Linked DNA regions of Arabidopsis thaliana. The protein of the gene in region 4 interacts with the protein of the main gene of each other region in a pairwise test. Each region holds a gene or a part of one and is shown on either strand. Other genes may lie near its edges. The genes, in order: TGA9, TCP17, HAT3 and AT2G40260.

The links.
Region 1: the proteins of AT2G40260 (region 4) and TGA9 interact in a two-hybrid assay, tested with the Arabidopsis thaliana proteins (one large-scale study listed by BioGRID).
Region 2: the proteins of AT2G40260 (region 4) and TCP17 interact in a two-hybrid assay, tested with the Arabidopsis thaliana proteins (one large-scale study listed by BioGRID).
Region 3: the proteins of AT2G40260 (region 4) and HAT3 interact in a two-hybrid assay, tested with the Arabidopsis thaliana proteins (one large-scale study listed by BioGRID).

What each region holds. Positions count from the first base shown.
Region 1 is NC_003070.9:2,622,567-2,630,554, forward strand, and holds the start of TGA9 (bZIP transcription factor family protein), read right to left. Parts: upstream 6,029-7,988; 5' UTR 5,717-6,028; intron 5,363-5,716; exon of another isoform or gene 5,255-5,362; 5' UTR 5,165-5,254; intron 5,156-5,164; exon of another isoform or gene 4,942-5,155; 5' UTR 4,886-4,941; coding exon 4,779-4,885; intron 4,303-4,778; coding exon 4,208-4,302; intron 3,707-4,207; coding exon 3,624-3,706; exon of another isoform or gene 3,247-3,623; coding exon 3,037-3,246; intron 2,358-3,036; coding exon 2,319-2,357; intron 2,159-2,318; coding exon 2,099-2,158; intron 1,768-2,098; coding exon 1,690-1,767; intron 1,531-1,689; coding exon 1,482-1,530; intron 1,377-1,481; coding exon 1,105-1,376; intron 884-1,104; coding exon 662-883; intron 1-661. UniProt on the Arabidopsis thaliana protein: Together with TGA10, basic leucine-zipper transcription factor required for anther development, probably via the activation of SPL expression in anthers and via the regulation of genes with functions in early and middle tapetal development.
Region 2 is NC_003076.8:2,582,685-2,586,559, reverse strand, and holds TCP17 (TCP domain protein 17), read right to left. Parts: upstream 2,203-3,875; 5' UTR 2,039-2,202; intron 1,689-2,038; 5' UTR 1,676-1,688; coding exon 947-1,675; 3' UTR 525-946; downstream 1-524. UniProt on the Arabidopsis thaliana protein: Plays a pivotal role in the control of morphogenesis of shoot organs by negatively regulating the expression of boundary-specific genes such as CUC genes, probably through the induction of miRNA (e.g. miR164). Participates in ovule development.
Region 3 is NC_003074.8:22,320,053-22,324,540, reverse strand, and holds HAT3 (homeobox-leucine zipper protein 3), read left to right. Parts: upstream 1-1,879; 5' UTR 1,880-2,170; coding exon 2,171-2,369; intron 2,370-2,527; coding exon 2,528-2,886; intron 2,887-2,970; coding exon 2,971-3,050; intron 3,051-3,443; coding exon 3,444-3,753; 3' UTR 3,754-3,961; downstream 3,962-4,488. UniProt on the Arabidopsis thaliana protein: Probable transcription factor.
Region 4 is NC_003071.7:16,815,993-16,820,397, forward strand, and holds AT2G40260 (Homeodomain-like superfamily protein), read right to left. Parts: upstream 2,739-4,405; 5' UTR 2,482-2,738; coding exon 2,163-2,481; exon of another isoform or gene 2,039-2,162; coding exon 1,962-2,038; intron 1,868-1,961; coding exon 1,831-1,867; intron 1,706-1,830; coding exon 1,603-1,705; intron 1,523-1,602; coding exon 826-1,522; 3' UTR 538-825; downstream 1-537.

The DNA.
Region 1 (7,988 bases), on a different chromosome or scaffold from region 4:
CTACCTTGGTGGGCTAATGGGTATTACAAAAGTCAATACATATCAATAACAATCAATTTGATCATAATGTTTGAAAACAAGAAATTTTTTTAAAATATTTTTGTTGAGTTCAAAACAAAACATTGAAAGAGATGGAGAATACTTTTAACATATTCTCTTTGTCTTTTTTTCAGCTATATTATATATAAAAGGTAAAAACAAGTTGGTGAAAGAAATTTGGCTCTTGGAATAATTAAATCAAAGACCAAAACAACATATAATTATTATAGAACATCAAATGTTGCTTTCACGTATTGTCTGTTTCTGGATTATTTGTTTTTTTTTCAATTAGATAATTTAGCCAGCACATACGTTTGTTCATATATGTACGCAAAATATATGCACGTATTTCCGCATTTTTAAACATTTGTACATCTAGTATATATATAAAACGTTAAAATTTACCCAATATATTTCTAAAAAATATATTCGAATTCCTCTCTAACTATAAACCAAAATACGTTGCAAATTTTGTTTAGTCAAAAACTATCTACAGTTATATAGTAGGTCAAATTTTGTGTATATTTCACACGGTGTTTTTTTCTCTCGTTTGCATTCGTTTGTAATTATTGTTCGAGCAAATGAAGTAAAAAAAAAAAAAAGATAGGTGAGAAAATGGAACCTGGCGGATAAAGCCTTCGAGATTAGAGATCTTTCCGAGAGCGACAGCCATTTGTTGCATTCCGTCAATGACTGGAGATGCGGCGAGAGTATCGATGAGAGATTGCTGAAGTTGTTCGAGGCCTTGCGAGAGAGCCTCCTCTGCTTGTTGCGACGAGTGTTGTAGGCTATATATTCCCATCAGTTGTTGCTCCGTCAATAGATCCATTTGCGACACCAATATCTAAGATCACATCCCTTTCTTTAGTTAATCATGATTCCACAACTTTTTTATCACACGCAAATAATTAAACCGAAGAATACTCATTTCTGTTTACATTTTGCAGCAATGTTTCAGATTTGTTGATGTAATTTACTAACGTGAATATCATTTTGTTTTTCAAACGCAAAACCTAAAACTTACGTTTGTAATCATGGGGTAAAGTAAGGAAGAACAAGTCGAACCTTGATTAGGTCGGATGGACGGAAACCAGCCATCCAAATAAAACAACGTTCGGCTGGGGACATCCATGTCCCAATGATGAGGTGAAAAACATCGGCTTTCGCTGCCACGGCTTTTAATCGGAATATCTCATCAAAATGAGCAATGTAACCGTCAACGATCAACCTTAAATCATTGTCAGATAAATGAGCCTGAAGACCGGTTCGAATCTCCGACATATGCCGGTTATCATCCTCTAGCCATCTCCCATATTCCATGTCAAATATTGCAGCTCCTACGTACATTCGATTTTCAACATTTTGTTAATAATAGTTTAACCATTATTGTACTTATTTTAATACAATAATACATTGCAATTGGTGTTTTAGGTTTCAAGTACCGGAAGTGATGTTAGGTCCTGGTGGTCCACAACCACCCATGAACAGCCCCTACCATCGACATAAACAATATATTAATTTCAACAAACAGACATTATTAATAACCAATGAACAATTGAGAAACTTAGCAAATGACAGGTTTTGACAAATTTAAAAAAAGATTTAGCAGAATATATAGGATTATAGGAATATAAATGATTCAATTTCAACCTGAGAACGAGCTCGCTGAAGTTCTTGCTCCAATTGGGAAAGCTTTATCCTACTTGATTCTAGCTGTTGCACATACGCCTGCTCAAACCATATGTATATGCATTTGTTATTTTCATACTAGTATCATTACATATAGAATAACAAGAAATGCGGAACTTATACGTTCATAAATGAATTATAGAAGACTGGTAAATGGTAGATAAAGAAATAAATGCTCATGTAACAGCGGTTTCCAAGAAGAATAAAAGACACCACTGCGTATGTTTTACTAGTAGCAATAGCATTATTGTAATTCTATGCAACAAATTATCATTTGGAAAAAGTAGCAAAGAATATATAAATAGGTCAAAAAAACAAAAACAAATGATAATAATTTGAGGTGAAAAGTCAGGCAATTATATGGTCATACCTTTTTCCTAAGACGGCTTTTGCGAGCAGCTTCTCTATTTTGGGCCAAACGTCTCAACGTCTGCATAATCCAGATTTAAGAACATTTAAACAAGAAGTTAACGAATTAATTCAGGTAAAAAAGGTTACTAAAAAGTAAGTACATATATAGGAATGGATATGTCTCCTCGGGGGAGTCAAATAAAATGTATAGGAAATGATGATGATGAAAGTTAAAGTACCTTAGCATCAAGCTGTTTGCCTGAAGTTGTAGCCTTCCTCTGCAATGTCAGAGAACAGAGATGAAAATAGAAATTCATTCAGTGGAAAGAAAGTAAACATAAATTAAATTGTGTGAGTGAAGTCGACTCATGTGATAAATATTTAAATACCATTTACACACAATTAAAAAAACAGCATTATTAAATACTTTTTTTTAATGTAATATTAAATCTAAGCAATATGAACTCATTTAGGGAATATATGTGTTGTTAAAGTAAACATAGAAATGAGGATATGTAATCATGTAGTAAAAAGTAAATTATAAAAACAATAATAACACCTAGGAAGATTCTTCTGCTTTATTCCGCTTTTTGGGGATTTCATTTAATAATTTGTATTTTAAATTTGTCTGTTTTCATTATTTTATCAACGATTCGAGAGGTCAAAATTCTGAATTTTCTCTGATCCGTTTCCTTTTTGGGATCTGTGTATGTTTTTGTTTTATTGGAAAGATTTGTTAGGACATAGACATATATGAAAAAGCATGTGCATGCATATCTATCAAATGACAAGGAGAGAGAGAGATAGGCTAATGATATACATACCATGTACATGCACCAAATTAAGCATGCATGTTTCATGATGACTCCAAGTACGTACCATGCATATATCTCTTTCTAAAATTAAATTTTAAAAAGTGATGATGATGATGATGATGATGATGATGATGATGAGTACCTTATCTTCCGAAGGTTTAGGAGGAGCTAAAGTTCGAGAAGTGGAAGGAAGTCCAGATGTTGAACTTGAGTTTGCCATGTTATTATGATGAGGTTGAAGCATGAGATGATGTTTGCTACTCATAGGAGACTCCGGTTGTTGACTTTCAGCTTTGCCGGAGAAATTAGCCGATCCTGAATCGCTGCTCTCTCCTCCTGACTTGGAACTCTCCTGCAATACATATTCAACATAATCATACTCATCATCATTAACGTATAAGATAATTAATAAAAAGTCAGAAAAGGGATAATCAATGTAACTAAGGAGGAATTGACCTTAGCGTATATAATTTGACAAACGGGGTACTATAAGTTTATGTAATATAAAATAAAGTCAAGAGAAAGGAATGGAGTAATTAACTACTCTAAAATCGCTATCAGCTTTTGAGTTGAAAGAAGCAAAAATAAGAGATAGTAAGAGGAACAAGAAAGCTGAAACATGTATATAAAAGTGAGGGTAAAATGAAAATATAAGTTTTAAGTTTAAATAGGAATGCCGAAAAAGGAGAAAAAAACAAGAGGAAAGGGTCAAAGAAGAAGAAAGGGTACAGTAGGAAGAGTTTGGTGAGTTCTGATTGGCCACGAAGGGAACATCTCCAGAGTCGTAGCTCCTCCTCCTCCTCCTAATAAAGCTGCAATTTTACCCATCATTACATTTATCAGATATGTAATGTTCATATGTAATCATGTAGTATGCTAGCTACTTATTAAATGTGTGCATGCATGTATATGTGTTTTTGATGTAATTTAAGTAGTACTACAATATATTCTACTTAGAACTAACTACATCATTTATCACGTGGAATCTATATATAACATGACACATTTTACTAATAGTATAATTATGAATATTTTGATATAGAGGAAGTTAGGGAGTTGGTAAAAGATATTTTCTTCTTTTCTTATTTTCTAAATAAAGAGAAGAGAAATAGAAAAACAAGTCACGCCATCCAAGGCTCTCTTTTGCCTCCGTATCATCACCTAAACCTATCTAAAGACTTGTTCAGACTACTCTCAGCTTTTTATTTTGTTTTTTCCAGTTTCAGTTTTTTGCTCAGAATTTTAAAAACTTTATTGGAGTTTGTTAAGGAAAGCTCACGTCATGAAGATTTGAGAGAGAGAGGGGGGCTTACGTGGCTTGGCTTCCTCGTTCCTATACTTGACACCTTGCAGAACAATTGCTTCTTCTAGCTCTCCAAAATCGAAACTGGACGATCCATCTTGGTTACTGTTTCATTTATTAATAGTATTGTTTAATTAGTACAAAGAGAATATTCATCATGTGTTACTACAACTATACAATCAGAAACCAAGAAAAATTGGAGACCAAAAGGAACAACAATTAAATTAAAATATAAATACTTGATTAGAGGGTCGCATTTTGAGTTAGAAGATTAATAAAGACGGTCGCATATAATGAAAGTTTACACAAAAGCTAAAGCACATATAAAACCTATTTCGGATGATCCATAACACATTTTTTAGTTTCTGTTTTACCTATAGATTTCCGTTGACCATTTCATATCTCATAAATGAAACCGTATAACATATCATAATACTACTAAGAAAATGACAAATTGAGAATAAACAAAGAAAACCCATATAAAATTCAATTAGAGCTCAATATTAAGATATGTAATATGAATAAAGTTGAGCTTTATGTATATGTAAAGAAGAAAAGACGAAGGAAGATTTGTTAATTACATGAAACCAGAAGATGGATGATTGTTGTTGAGACCATGAATAAGTGAATAAGGAAGATGATGATTGTGGTTATGGTTTGTAGCTTCGCTCATTCTATGGTTCGCCATCTCTACTCAAGAAAACAGCTTCAATTGATGATATCTCTTCTTGATTAGTCTCTTTTCTGCAAAACACATTAAATCTTGAAATGATGAAAAAGATGATAATCACTATTGAGAGAAGCTCGAGTTAAGAAACACAAGAGAGAACTAGCTAGGGAGAGGGAGAGGGAGAGAGATTGCAAAGTCTTATAATTAATTCTTGATTAGTTGATCAAATGATTGGAATTTGAAAAGAAAAAGCTAGTTGATGATATGAACATGAAAGTAAGATATCTATGTGTTTACCTTTTGTGATGTTTTGCTTTTGGTGTTTGAGAACAAAGAGGAGAGAGAGAAAGTAGAATGGAAGCTTTCTCGTCAAAGGCTTTTTTATGGCTGAACAGAAAAACAAAAGAGGGTCCAATCTTTTCTCTTTCCGAGATACATATACAAAATTATGTGGGCGTGTATATATTTGTAGTTGGATAGAGAAATGATAATAAAGTATTAGTAATTGACTAATGTATAGTATCATTACTCTTTCTCTCTTTATTACTATTCTCTCTATACTTGTATGTGAAGAAACCTTTGTGATTCATCATCACTCTCTCCTTTTCACCACCTTTCTCTATCTATTTCCATAGTAAACACAAATTCCACTTGCTAAATTTCAAAATTTTATTGAAGAAAACAATAAAGAAATATTGATAATTTTTCATGGTAAATCAGACGAAGATCTTGTCCTTCCTAGACTTTGTCTCCAGGCTATATTTATGTGTTGCATTTTTTTTTGTTTTCCAAATAATAATATTGGGTTCAAAAAAGTTGTACAGAAAATTGAAAATTTAGTTGACTAACTTTATAGCTGTCAAGGGTGAAGCTAGTACTTGGCAATTGATCAGATGGAGTGGACGATCTCTATTCATACACAAACCTGAAATGTAGAAGTTAAACAGAAAATCAAAAGTCTAAGAGTGCTTAATTAAAAGAGCTTTATCCTTGTTAAGAAAAAGAATGGAGCTTTATCTTTGGTAAAGAATAAAAGAGCCTTATCCAATATGTAGAAGATAAATAAGATGATTGGATATAAGATTAATTGGACCGATCACAAGAAAATGGAGGTAGATTATTAAGAAAACTATCGACTTCTCTAGGTAGAAAAAAATTGAGCGAGAAGAAAATTAAATGAGAGTTTGTAATTTAGTCCATAAAATAAAAATAGAAGAAAGAGAGCAGAAAAAGAGGAGGAACCCACTAGAATCACTGACTCCTACTCCACAATCTCTCTCTCTCTCTTTGTAACCGCCTGTTTGTGCTTATTGGCTCTTTTTCATCAAATCTCTTTTTGGGCTTATTCACGTACACATTTTTTCAATAATCTATCATCTTTTCTGTAGTATTATTCATCGTATTCACGTACATGCCTATATCAAAATACGTATCTGTATATGTGAAAGTAAAGTGGTGAAATTTGCATAAAAGAATTGGGTTTCACTCTATCATCTTAGCAGCATGGATCATGCATGAAGTTATTTTTTCTAAGTAGTCTGTGTGTTAATCTAAAACCAAAAGAAAACTAACAGGAAAATTCTAGAATTATATCAAGAATCTTTGAATGGGCATGATATATACAGCATATACTTTATATTTTTGCCAAAAAAAAAATGATATATATATCTTTAGTCTAGTAAACAAATATATACTATAACTAAATGATCGAATACAACTCCCCAGCTATAGTTTAAGCTAAATTATATATATTATTTGGATGATCTAATGAGTTTGTTATTGGAATAGTACTAGAGATAGTGATGAAATAATGTTAATACACATAATCATAAATTCATAATCAAAGACAATGCATTAATGTGGGATAAGGAATGTTTGTTGATTTGTGTATGTATATTAAAATAGCAGAATCGAGTGAGTTTCTATTTCTAAACTACAACTCTTTTTGTTAAATGACCTTTGAGACAGAGAGAGGGATAAGAATAGTATGAATATAATACGTCTACTTATATGTAACACACTATACATAATTACAGATTTTTTTTTAGTTTCATCTTCAGTCTATAACCTTTTGAAAGCCGAGAGTGATAATATGTGAAACAGTTTCTGAAAGTTTTTTCTTCTTCTCAAAAATTAACAGCTTTTAGGCTTTAAGTTTCAAATTTGGATATAATAGAACTAGAGCAACTTTCTCTAGTCGGTTAACCTAACATACTTAAGTATTGAATAATTAACTATTTTGCCTCTACCAGTTCAACCAAAAAAGCCTTAGAATAATGACAATTATGTAGACCAATAAGATAAAATTAAACGGCCTTCTTGCATTAATCGTAAATAAATATAGAAAATAGCATTAAAATTATCAATAATTATTGTAAACATCTCAATCGAGTGTTATTTAAATTGATTAGTTTGGTATTATCCTATAATTTTGTTGATCGGTCAACATCCACTCCCTGTCATCACCTAAATCCTAATGCCACATTTCAGATTCCTTTCCTTTATTAGAAATTGTTATATGCCTCCTTTGATTCGTATAGCTGTTTTAGTCAATGCAGCTCTCTTGCAAATCCACATTTGTCATGGCTTTATTCCTTTAGTTTGTGTCATAATGACCCCCTCCGAATTGAGAATTTATTTTTCACGGCTCTTTAGATGCTTTTTTTGGGTTCGGTAGAAGTATATAACTCACGGTTAAGCTTTTATAGAATCTCAATATTAATTTGTCCATCAAGGCATCAAAATAATGTTTAGATTACCATCTCAGCCCAATACCGGCCATAATCTTATATGGAGGATGCATATTATTATGTAGACATCAATGATCAATCACTTTGGGACAACTACTCAAGCTCGTTTTCTAACGAATTGGGATTTTTGAATTACTTACTCAAAATAGTGTAGTCGGTTTTGGTCTAGCATGATCTAAAAAGTCCAACAAGCCGAGAGGCCCAAAACCCTAATATTCAAAACTTCGTGGCCTAAATGTTTCATCCTGTGTAATTTTCTTCAACAACCATTATCTTGGGTGAAAATTGTCAAATTTGCATATTTTCCATTATTGTCATTGACTTTCTGATTCGGTAACAGTCATATGATGTAAAAATGGGCCACATCCTTA
Region 2 (3,875 bases), on a different chromosome or scaffold from region 4:
GAAAGAGAATTAATAGAAAGTGAAAAGAGGATCGACAAAAGAGAAAAGAAAAAAAGAAGAATAATTAAAAGAAGATATATAGGGATCAGTGCTTGACTTGACTGCAGATTCAGTTGCTGTCTTAACTGCCTCATCTTCTTCTCATTTTCCTTCTCTCATTCGCCAATCCCAATAAGGCAATACTCATCACCTAAATCTATCTCTATATAGCTAGTTGTTGGTTGGAGTATATGATTCTACTCACTTTACATTAATCCAATTACCGGAAAGCTGCTACAACAAATCATATACCTATATATGAATATTCAGGATAAAACGTTTTAGTTGTCGTAAATCCTTCCAATAGGTTCAATAATGCTTTTGCGGCATATTTGGTTTCGGAAATGTAAGAAAATAAATATTCGGTTCGATTAGTTTACATGTTAAGCCCAAAATATATACATACAACGTATATTTGTGTCATTGTGTGTATGAGTGTGTTTATTTCTATTTGTAGATGATATCATATGTGTTGTGTTCCTTGTATACTACACATGCATGTGGTTGTGGACATATGAGTACAAGCTAGGGTTTGGCGTGCAATGAGGCCTGTGTTATAGCATATTTAGGCACTACAAACTTTACATACAAATGTGAAAAGTTTGTATGAGAGATATTATTTATATTGATTGTAGCGGTACAATGAATTAGATATTCTACCAACTCAATCACAACATGAATTATGAATATGTACCTTTGCTCGCATCAGATTTGGCGTCTATTATATAATCTTTAATAAGACTGTCTACTATAAATACACGCATGTGACGATTAATCAATCCAACAATAACCATTAAACCATATAAATCTCCCTCTCTCTATGTACATATAGTAAATGCCTTACATGTCACATGACTTGAATTCTTCAACTTGTTAAAGATCGTCTAAAAATAATCTGCAGCTGGAACTACTCGATATGGTCTGGTTGTGAGCTTGTGCTACTAAAGAGTTGAAGTTGACCACCACCGAGAAACGAAGGGTACCTTGTTGGGAATAGAGAACTCATAGTTTCCGCCGCCGGAGGATTGAGATTATTATTATTATAGTTATTAGAAAATGCGACAGTGACGTTACCAGATTGGTCTAGTAGTGACTGTTGGAGATGTCCAAGGTTGTAGTGATAAGAGCTGCTAGACGAAGTAATTGTAGGGAAATAAAGCTTGTTGCTCTGGATTGAATTCGAGAAATGGTTGTGATGATCGATGTGATCAAACACATGATCAAGATTAACCCATTTCCTTTTCTCAAGATCCAAAGCTTCTCTCTGTGTTCTTCCAAGATCGAAGACCCCGGGAAAAGATTCTCCAAGGCCGGTGAGATTAGGGTTAAGTTGGTGAAAACCAGGTGGGAATTGCAAAGGAGGAAGCAAATCGACGTCGTTTTTGGCAACTTCTAAGAGCCAATCAATGACTTTGCTAGGCTGACTCAGCCCTAATCGTTCTTGAAGGTCGTAGACTTGGATCGCTGTCATCACCGACAACCTTATCCTCCTGTCTCGGAGACCACGAACTGTGCACACTTTGCTGTGTCTATCTTTGCCTCCAAATGCTCGGGAGACTCGCACGATCCTCGGATTATTCCATCGTTGCGTCAACAAGGACAAGGAACTTTTCTGATCTTCTTTTTTTATTCCCATGTCCTCTGTCGATCTAAAAAACAAAAAACAGATGAACAAAATCAATATTGTCATCACAAAGTGTTCAAATTCGGAATGTTTGTGGATTTTTGGGAAGCGTGATCACTTTAATTAGATGAAAGCAACTTCAATAGAGTAAATAACAAAAACCTATTAAGATCAAGAAAACGTATATTACTCGAACTGCATATTAATTTAATTTACTAGATATTTTGTGTATATATACTTAAAAAAGATCAAAGGAAAGTGATTCTCAAATCGAAATAGATTACAATTGAATCAATAGGAAGATCTGAGGATCCAAAGAGGAAAACAAAGGTTTCAAATTATATTACTGCAAGAAAAAAAGATGATTAATCTTACACAGAAAAACTGGTAAGCTTGACGAAGTCGTTGGGTTTAGACAGATCGAGTGAGTTCTTTGTCACGTAGGTTGAGGAAAATGATAAGAACCGAGATGATGAACAGTTATAATTTATTCTCTCTCGTTATCTAAAACTAAAAGTGTATAATATAACATATGGTTGAGGCTGAGCAAGAAATGATATCTATATATATATACGCTCCAATCCCTAGGGTTTTAGTTAGGTATAAAGAGCAATTTGTGTAGTGTGTAGACTATAGACACTCTTATCCACATGTTTTCTGACGGAAAGAAAGATGCTATGATTTTCATTAATCACCCATACTAATAGTAGATAATAAATAAAAACATATACATACACTGATACACATATACATAATCAAAATGTGTACACATGTATCTACTTACTTAGAGATCATTCTTTAGAATGTCTAGTCCTGAATCTTGATGATGCATACGATCATTCTTAACGATATCTTTGACTCCATTCAATAGAAAATACTAATGTAAGAAAATTACATTTTCATTACACACTACATATGGATCTTTTGCTATATATCATTCGAAACAATAGTTCAAAATTACTGAGAACCAACTTATACATTACATTTGGTATAGGGCAAATTCCATTATATATAGTATGTGATGTGCATCAGTAAATGTTAAGACCCAAAACTTTTAAAAATTAGGGGTTTCCTTTCGATTTTCTTCGTGAGATGATCCCAATTGAGCTCCATAATACTGTACATATTATAGTAGGCAAATAGATTGACAGCTAAAATGGTTGGTCTTAGATGGAGGATGGACCAAATTAAAGAGTACATGTTTTTTTTTGTTAAAATAAAGCATCTTAGATATGTAATATGCTTATATACAGATTCATGGTGGACCACTATATAATTTGCATGGCAGTGAGATATCTAGTTCATTCTTTTAAGCATTATTTATATACACTGTCAGGATATCACAATAACAGAATTTCATATAACAAAAATATAATTATTAAATTTCATAAGAATTCTTGTAATTCAATAACAATGACATTGGGGTTTTATATCAATGAGTGAATTCTTGCCATACTGCCAAATTTCACTATATATCTTATAATAAACTGTTTTACTTTTCTTTTAAACGTTTCACAATTTATGACTAATTATTAGCTGCTTGTATACAATGTGTATAAGTAGACCTCTGCGTATGTGTATCAGAGAATCAGAGATTGAGAAGTTTCTCTAGTTGGGACCTAAGGTCGGCTGAAGTAGATAACGATGATTGGACTTCAGTTTCAAAAATTTATTAGCCTTTAGTGCGTTGGATTATGTAATCTTCAAGACGATTGAAGCATATACAAGAAAATAGTTTTAACCTTTTTTCCTAGAAATTTGTTAAGTATGAACGATTCCAATTTCATAGAGGTCAAATACATTACATACTAGCGGTAGATCACATACTAGTGATGGCGGTTAAAAACGAACCTTTAATTCGGTTACCAATATTGAATTGGATACTTGGACTTGAAATAAGCGGTTAGAAGCTCAAACGAATGATTTCAAACTGATTTGTCCTAAAACCACAATCAATTTCAAGTAAACCCTGCTTATCTTTTACCACTGCAAACCGGACCATATTCTCTGATCGCTAGAGAATCTTATTAAGTTTGGTCACACAACCTAGCTGTAACCACAATGAGTGCAAAACGGTAACCACAATGAGTGCAAAACGGTAACACAGAGTGCAATTGAAACGCTCATGTGTCCCAGTTTAGACCAAAAGTTGGAATACGTGCATATGATGACGTATGCATGTCACTTACACACAGACACATTTTGGACCCAA
Region 3 (4,488 bases), on a different chromosome or scaffold from region 4:
GACTTCAGAGCTTGAAAGTCTCTCGTATAACAAAGAGGTAAAACAAATAAACTTTGGCTATGTTTTTTTTTTTTTTGCGTTGAATAAGTGTGTTAATAATAAAAGGAAAACTTGATCAAATATATTTTGTCTTTCTATTTTCACAAATGCTTTTTTTTTTGGTGTTTTCTAAAAATCTAAGTAACAGTGTTATTAATGGAGAAAATAAATGAGAAGAAGGGTTATGTTTAGATTGTTTCCTGTGTAAATGTAAAATCAAACATATAAATTAAACACGAGCAGGAAATTAAATAAATAGAGCTGACCTGTCTTGTCTGTGTAACTGCTGAAAGTTTTGAAGAGACTGAAGGCAGAAGTAATGATGGCAATATCAATAACATATATGGAGTCATCATTAATTAAATAGTAATTTAATTACTCTCTTATTAGTCATAAAAATCAGCCAACACCACTTGTCGTGCGTTTTTATTTATGTTTGACTGACAGATGAAATTAATGAGAAAGTTAATTATCTTTTGGTATCACATTGGGAAAAAGGAACAATAAATGAAGGAGGGAGGCATGGAATGGGAATGCATGTTGGATTCGCAGACAACTCAAAATCCATGCAGTGTTTAGGGCTTTTAGGTTCTCTGTAACCTATCTATACGACACCGTATCTCTGCCCCCTCCTGATTCCATACCCATTTTGAGCCCACCGCCTTATTCTCCCCCCACCTCACACTCGCCCATTCGCGCGTATCTATTCTTTCACGCTTACCTATTATTCCAACATCCTCATAATCACATTTTAACAATAACCCATTGAAGAATAATAATTCATTTCATTCTTTAAGAAAGTTTGGTTTGTAACTAGGTTATATAATTTTACCCAATAAAGGTTATAGAATGGTTTAAAACTACTAAGAAAAACATAATTTAGCTGATCTTTTCTCAAAAAAAAAAAAATAGTTGTCATAATCGAATGCCAATGATGAAACATATTCACCATAAAGCTAACTTAAAGAACCTTTTCTAACCAACAAGTTAACAAGTGATGGTGAATTTGGAGAGTGGGTGAGATTTGTTTTAAGGATATAATTCCATGTTAAAATGGGAAGTACAATTATATGGTTTGATATACAGTACTACAAATTATGCTTTAAGAGTACTAATATTAAAGCGAAGCTGCATTATTTTTGAGATACGTAGGACCCCAATGGTCAGAGGGAGAAGTAAAGTTATGATGATAACAATAAGGCATGATATGATGATGATGTTCATAATGATACTGATGATGATGATGATTTATTAATTATTATGATATGATATCATTATTTGATCACCCTCACGAGCGCGTGGATTTTACCGTCTGGTCGCTGCTTTTTTAATCCTCTCAATCAGTCAACGGTCAACGAGCGAGAAAGCCGCTTTCGTAATGAAAGCCACATTACAAAAAGCCAATTATGCTTGTTTGTGTGTTTTTGAAAAAGAGCTTCTTTTACATTTTCTTTACTTTGAAACTCGGGTACACAAAATCTCTACTCAATTATATTGTCAACTACTAATCTTTAGTATCTTTTAAAGTAGAAACTCAGCTTTTATCTATATTTAGTAAAACCTCACATGAATGGATTTGGGTGAATGAGTTTATCATATGTATAAGAATCTAATATAATATTTGAAAAACGCTCATAGGTTATTTTGTAATTAAGAATAGTGACAACTTACAATATACCAAACGGAAAATGATAGAGAAAGAACAAGAGACTTGGACTTTTTTTTTTCTTATAATAAATCAATTAACCATGGTTGAAAAGGGATGTGAGGTGAAAGTAATAACTCCTGGTTTTAATTTTAACCATGGTTAAGTTAAAATAAAGAGAGAAGGAAGCAGGTTTTTATGCAGTATATATCATCATTGAGGTAACAGAGGTCTCTCTGACACAAGTCATCATTGAAACCCTAAGCCTCCCCACAACCCCATATCTCTTTGTCTGAAAAAACTCTTTTGCATATATAAATAAATATAAGCCATATCTTTTGAAACTGTACTGCTGCACAAGTGTAGAGGCAGTGGCACAACATCTTTAAGAAAGAGAGAGAGAAAGAGTCATTTATTCATTTCCTCGCTTAAAAATCTTGAGCACCCAGACAGAATTCTTCTTTCTTCTTTCTGGGGTTGAGAAAAATGAGTGAAAGAGATGATGGATTGGGGCTAAGTTTGAGCTTGAGTTTAGGTTTTAATCAAAAGGACCCGTCTTCGAGGTTAAATCCAATGCCTCTGGCTTCTTATGCATCTTCATCACACATGCAGCATATGCAGCAGAGCAATTATAACCATCCTCAAAAGATTCAGAACACTTGGATTAACATGTTTCAGTCATCAGGTATTTACCTCCTTTTACTAATCCAGATTCATGTCTAAGATTATAGGTTTCTTTGTTTTAGATCCGATCTTTTTATTACACTTTATCCTATAATAGATAAAATTTTCTTGATATGTTTGTGATTTTTAATCATTTGGCGTGATTAACGTAACGTGCAGAGAGAAACTCGGACATGAGATCGTTTCTCCGGGGAATAGACGTGAACAGAGCTCCATCGACGGTGGTGGTTGACGTGGAGGATGAAGGCGCCGGAGTTTCGTCTCCGAACAGCACCGTCTCAAGCGTGATGAGCGGGAAGAAGAGCGAGCGAGAGCTAATGGCTGCGGCAGGTGCAGTTGGAGGAGGTAGAGTAGAAGATAATGAGATTGAGAGAGCTTCTTGCTCGCTCGGCGGTGGTAGCGACGATGAAGACGGTAGCGGGAACGGAGATGACAGTTCGAGGAAGAAACTCCGATTGTCTAAAGAACAAGCTTTGGTTCTTGAAGAAACTTTTAAAGAACATAGTACACTCAATCCGGTCAGTGGCATTTCCGTAGTTTTCTTCAATAGGTTGACTTTTTATATGTTTTTCATTGACTTTTTTTGTTGTTGTTGGATGCAGAAGCAAAAGATGGCTTTGGCTAAGCAATTGAATCTGAGGACGAGACAAGTTGAAGTGTGGTTCCAAAACCGAAGGGCAAGGTAGAAATTTTTATTCTATTTTAAGGGGTTACTTTCGTAAATTTTATATAGTCCAACAAATAAAACATTAGTAGTTATTGCTATGATGGTGATATGTGTAATGGTCCATTTTATGACCCATAAGATTATCCTAAAGGATTTTAATGGGTCTCTCATGTCTTAAATTAGGAGGTTTGGTTTAAGCTATTCAGTTTTCCCGGTTTAAGAATTAAAACCGCCAATGTTGTTTTTGAGTCAAATTTTGGTTAAAGTGTTTTCAGTTTTCCGGTTCAAGAACAATAACCGCCAGTTTCGAATACAAGAAACAAATGTACTTCGGGTTTTCTCTTTCCCGGATAGTTAAACCGGATATCGGATTTTAATGTTTTGGACTGTTTGTGTGTGTGTTTATAGGACGAAGCTGAAGCAAACGGAAGTAGACTGTGAATATCTTAAGAGATGTTGCGAGAATCTAACGGATGAGAATCGGAGATTGCAAAAGGAAGTGAGTGAGCTTAGGGCTTTAAAGCTTTCTCCACACTTATACATGCACATGAAACCTCCCACTACTCTCACAATGTGTCCTTCTTGCGAGCGAGTCGCTGTTACGTCATCTTCGTCATCGGTGGCTCCTCCTGTGATGAATTCATCGTCTCCGATGGGTCCGATGAGTCCGTGGGCTGCCATGCCTCTACGGCAACGACCTGCTGCTGGTTCTCATTAGAGTTTAATTAGTCTAAAGATAATAGGTTTGGTGATTTGTTTTTATTATATTGTTGAACGGACTTGGAAGTTCTTTTCAAGAGTTGGTCCCATGCTCTTCTTTCCTTTGTTTTATTCAGTTTCTATTTATAGCTGAATTCTGGATAATGGAAAATCTACTAATATTATTGTCCAATTATTAGTTTGGGGAAAGATAAGAGGTTCTATCATTCTTTATTGTTATATATTTTGATTACATCATATCTGTTTTTCACCAAATCCAGAGTTCTATTTTAAGGCCATCGAATCATAATAACGAATGGTGCATAAACTAATTTTCAAGAGCGTCATTTATTAAAGTTGTAATTGTTTAATTGGGGTTTTCTTTCTTTTGCTTGGAACTTAAGAAAGGGATTTGTAAAGATGATTATTAATTACAGTAGAAGATTAGTTAGAAGTATAAAGTAAAAAGAAGCAATGAAAGGTGTTATGATTGATGGAGCAAGCGTGTGTTGTTTGCATATGTAATAAGTAAATGTTAGCCAATACGAATATCGAGACATGTACGTGACATAACATAGCATTTGGTATGTATATGGAGATATTTGGGTCCACATAGACGAAGTCAGACCATTAGAATCTCTTGCAGAACACTGAAGATACGATATTTTTTTCTTCCCTTATGTCAAAAGATCTCAACCGACAGAGAAAGAGAAAATGAGAGGTACGACCAAGATATCTCTCGGTGTTTCAATTT
Region 4 (4,405 bases):
TCGAGGAGATCAAGACATATCTCTATGTCAAGTACATCTGTCTTCTTGTCGTTCTCTCCAATTTTCTCTTAAAGAAAGTGTCTTCTTTTTTTCTTAATTAACCTCGCAACTAAATTAAAATAAACTTTGGTTGGTTATCAGAACCGATTTGTTTTTTTTTTTTTGTTTTTTTAATACAAACAAAACATTCAGCAGACCTGATTTTTAAATTAACGGACCTTTCATATAATTTCAACTACAAATCTAAAACATAGAATAATTTATAAAACGATTTTGAAGAAGGCAAAAACTCGTCTTTATAAAAATAATAATGCTATAGCTCAGAAAGCTATGACTCGGAAGTCTTCATCTTCTTTTCTTGTATTCACTGATTTGACGTTAACGTATAAATTTTCAGACAATATCTCCATGTTAAAACAAAAATATTGCTTAGGATACTTGTTATGTGAGAGTAAACTACATATACATTGCAACGTCTAGACAAGCTTATAGACAACGTGCAATGTCTTGTAACTCTCAAAACCATATATATAGACTCTCACTAATGTATTTCTTGGTTACTATACTATTTAGAAGAAAACAAATTTCTGCTCCCAACTCGATCACAAATCATATATATTTTAAAATATGCATTTAACGATCTCGACAAAATTATGTGAATTTTTTTTTAATAAAAAACATTAAAAAATGTCTCTATTATTTCCTTAATTATGGGTCTTGTCACAAGTATGCAACGAATGATAAACAACAATACAGAACCGTCTTCCATCAACAAGTACCACAAGATCTCACTTAGAATATACGTATATAAGTTGTTATACATATTCACAGAGTGAGATCAAGGGGACTTGCCAAGACCGAAATCTTTCTCTTTTTGTGATCAGTTTGATCTTCTTTCCTAATGGTTCGGTCGAGTTTTGATGAACCTGAAGATGATAACGAAAGAGACAAACTCTTGATATCTTGATGATCATCATGTTCTTTTACTTCATCTTCTAACAAGCATTCTCCAAGATTGTCGTGTGTCCGAGGTACCTTAAGGGACAAGCTTAGATCCAAATCTTGGTCTGACTTATTGCAGTCATCAGAAAATAATAACCTCTTCCTCTTCAAAACATTCTCTGATCCTTCTGCCACTCCAGCATTCTCCCATTGATAAGAATTTAGCGTTGTAGCAATATGATCTTGTGGTATTGTTGCGGTGGAGGACTTAAGATTGGAAGAGAGGCTCTGTCCCCATGATTTGTTAAACGTTTTCATACCTTCAAGAAAACTTCTATGAATTCTTGGAACAGCTCCAGCTACTCCATTGTTATCATGAACCCCTTCATGAGAATTGATTCGAAATGAAATAGTTTTGTTCTTATCGTTAAGAATACTATTGCTAACTCCGTGATATCTCTCACCAGGCTGTGAGCTAAACATTGTTTGTCTTGTTCTTGTATTTTCTCGTGTCGTTAATCCTCTCCAAGGGCTACGGTAGATCTGTCGTCTGTGGTCAGTCCACGAACCACCACCATATCTATTGAATACATTCCAAGTTACACACACGTAATTTTAACTTATAGTTTAAAGATAGCTAGCTGAAGAGTTTGTAAATACCCTAAACTAGAAGAAGGCCTTTGATCAAAACTTTGTAGCATTGGAAGTTGGCTAAGGTTGTAAGTGTAACCAGCTCCGTGTTCAAACGAAAATCCTTGATCTCCTGTAGTTATAAGAAAAGATAAAACACGAGAGACAAGAATTAGTCAATTTCTCGTCGAATTCAATTATAAGATTTATAGAAGCCCTAACTTAAATCAGAAGGTAGAAGAAAGCTAAGTAAACTACCTTCATTAGGCTCATCGGTCTTCTTGCTTCTGTACATCTAAGAAGAAAAAAAAATGAAGTATGATTTCAGATGAAGATCTCAATGATGTATATAGATATATACTCTATGTGTATGTGGATATTTGCAAAACCTGAAGATGACTCTTAACATGGGCAATACTTAGCCCCTTGACGTTCATCAATTGGAGAACAAGCTTCGGTGTTGCTCCTGTTTCAACAAAATCATTGAAAGAGACCCCAAATAAATATCAACAAGAAAACCCTAGAAATTTAGAGATCTTCACATATGCAATGATCTTGATATTGATTCATATATATAATTGAAACTCAACTATCTGGGCCACCCAATCTCTCCACAGCTTGAAGAAAGCAAATATGGAGCTCCGGCGTCCATCGCAGCCTCGGAGTCTTTGAGCGGTTGTACGGCCTCACGGATCCTCCATTCTTCTTGTTCTGATCATGGTGGTGACTCCCACTCTCTTCCTCATAGCTATTGCTAGATGGGCTCTGATCTCCAGATCTCTCTTCTTCATCCTCTTCGCCTTCTTCATCATCCTCTTCATCTTTATCTTCTTCATTCTTGGTGGTTGCTTTGATGTTGTTAGATAGACAAGTCTTGGAGTTTTCAGAATTTTGGCTGCTTGATCTCATCTTGGTCTCTAGCTATTTGGCTGTTTTTGTGTTGTTTGTTTTGAGGTTGAACCTTTTTGGTCTATCTTGGAGTTCTCTGGACAAAGATCAAACAAAGATCACACACTCATACATATGTGTTAGGAATTTAAGGTGAAGACTTTTGATGGTCTATGTGTATGACTTTTTGGATGCTTGTATCCATCATTCCTTTTTCTCCCCCTCTCTCTCCAACTCAACATATATGTTGAAATATGTATATGATGGCAACGGATATTCTAAATTCTATTTAATATATAGCTTTTTATTACACCAATGGTTTTTTCTACAGTTATATACATCTTAGGGAAAGATAGATCTAGAATTACACCTCATGACAAAAATGGTACTTTTAATTTCATTAAACATTAGTAACTTCAGTCATAAGATGTATTTTAAAATGAGTTAATAACTATTAAGTCAATTAGTACAATTAATCTTTGAATCTCGTTGTGATAGGGAGTGAAAAGAAATTCCAAGGAGTAGATTGAATTTATCTAAATAATGATCATTTTCATGGTAAAAGATCAAACGTTTTCATGATATCAACCCGTACGTATACCAATTTTATGACATAAATCAGGGTTCAATATGACATGTACATTAACAATTTTTTTTGTTCTTTCTTTCAAAACCAACTGAAGATCTATGTTTTTCATTGGATTTGGTACGTGTTTTTGTTTCATTCGAACTAGCTTTTAGCAATATAGGAAGAAGGCAACATTAATGAGGCATACACATTAATTAGATAAATGAAACTTCTTCCATCGTTACAACTCATGAATTAAATTGACTAGAAAAGCAAAGCATAAAAGGGGATGGTTAGGGGGATGGGCTCGTGACTTCAAAGCCAAAGCTGTGAAACCAGAAAAAGAAGAAACCCAAAAGCATAATTAGATAGATAGACAGAGAAAGAGCATAGAGAGAGGAATCAGACAGAAGTTAAAAGGTGCTTGGCTGGGCTGTCTTCACTGAAAGACACGAGAAGAAAATATTACTACTTGTTTCTGTCACCAACGACAATCACGGGTTTGTCTCCATCTCCACTACTCTTACGATTTCATATTATCTATAATTATCTACACATGCGCCTCTCTCTATATACATGCAAATAGTACATCTCTTTTTCTATATATAACCCAAATAAATGTTAAAAAATAAATAAATAAATTAGGATACAGAATATAACAACTGAAGCTAATAAGTCACATGATTATCACAGAATTGAACTTGAGAATTATATGAGTTTCTGTACGTACACACATGCAACCAATTGATTTAGTTTGGAATTCAGTTCAGGGGTGATTAGTTCGTTCTATATAGCGTACGTACTATTAAAATTACTAGTAAAATACTAAACAAAAGATATGTTCTAATTAAGTATGTCATACTTTTATTTTTGTGAAATTAAGGAAGTAGGCAAAGTAGGGGATGTCATACTTTTTTAAGAACTTAGAAAGGAGAAAATTAAAATGTATAATATATGATTTACTTATTGTCATGAACTTTGCGCCTCCAGGAGAGGGTCAAGGCAGAATTGTATCTATCTGTATTCCTCTAACATCAGCAGGCTAATTTTTCTTGTAAGCGACATGCAAGTACTGTGTCAAATTTTGTGAATGGTGACCAGATAATGTGAAAGTCATCGGTCAAATAAATTAGGTATATGACATTTCTTTCTGTTTTTTTTTTTTTTTTCAAAATCGTTTTTGGAAGCCCAATGTCCAGCCGTAATCGTATATTTTCGTCGTCGTTATTAATTGGTAGGAAGAATTAAAGCTGTCGTATATTTTGGTTTTAAAAGTGTAGCAATAATAATTTACGTTAGAATGACGTTCTTCATATCTACCCTATAATCCTACTTCCATGCTCAGACAACCCATGATCAATTATACGACCCAACAGA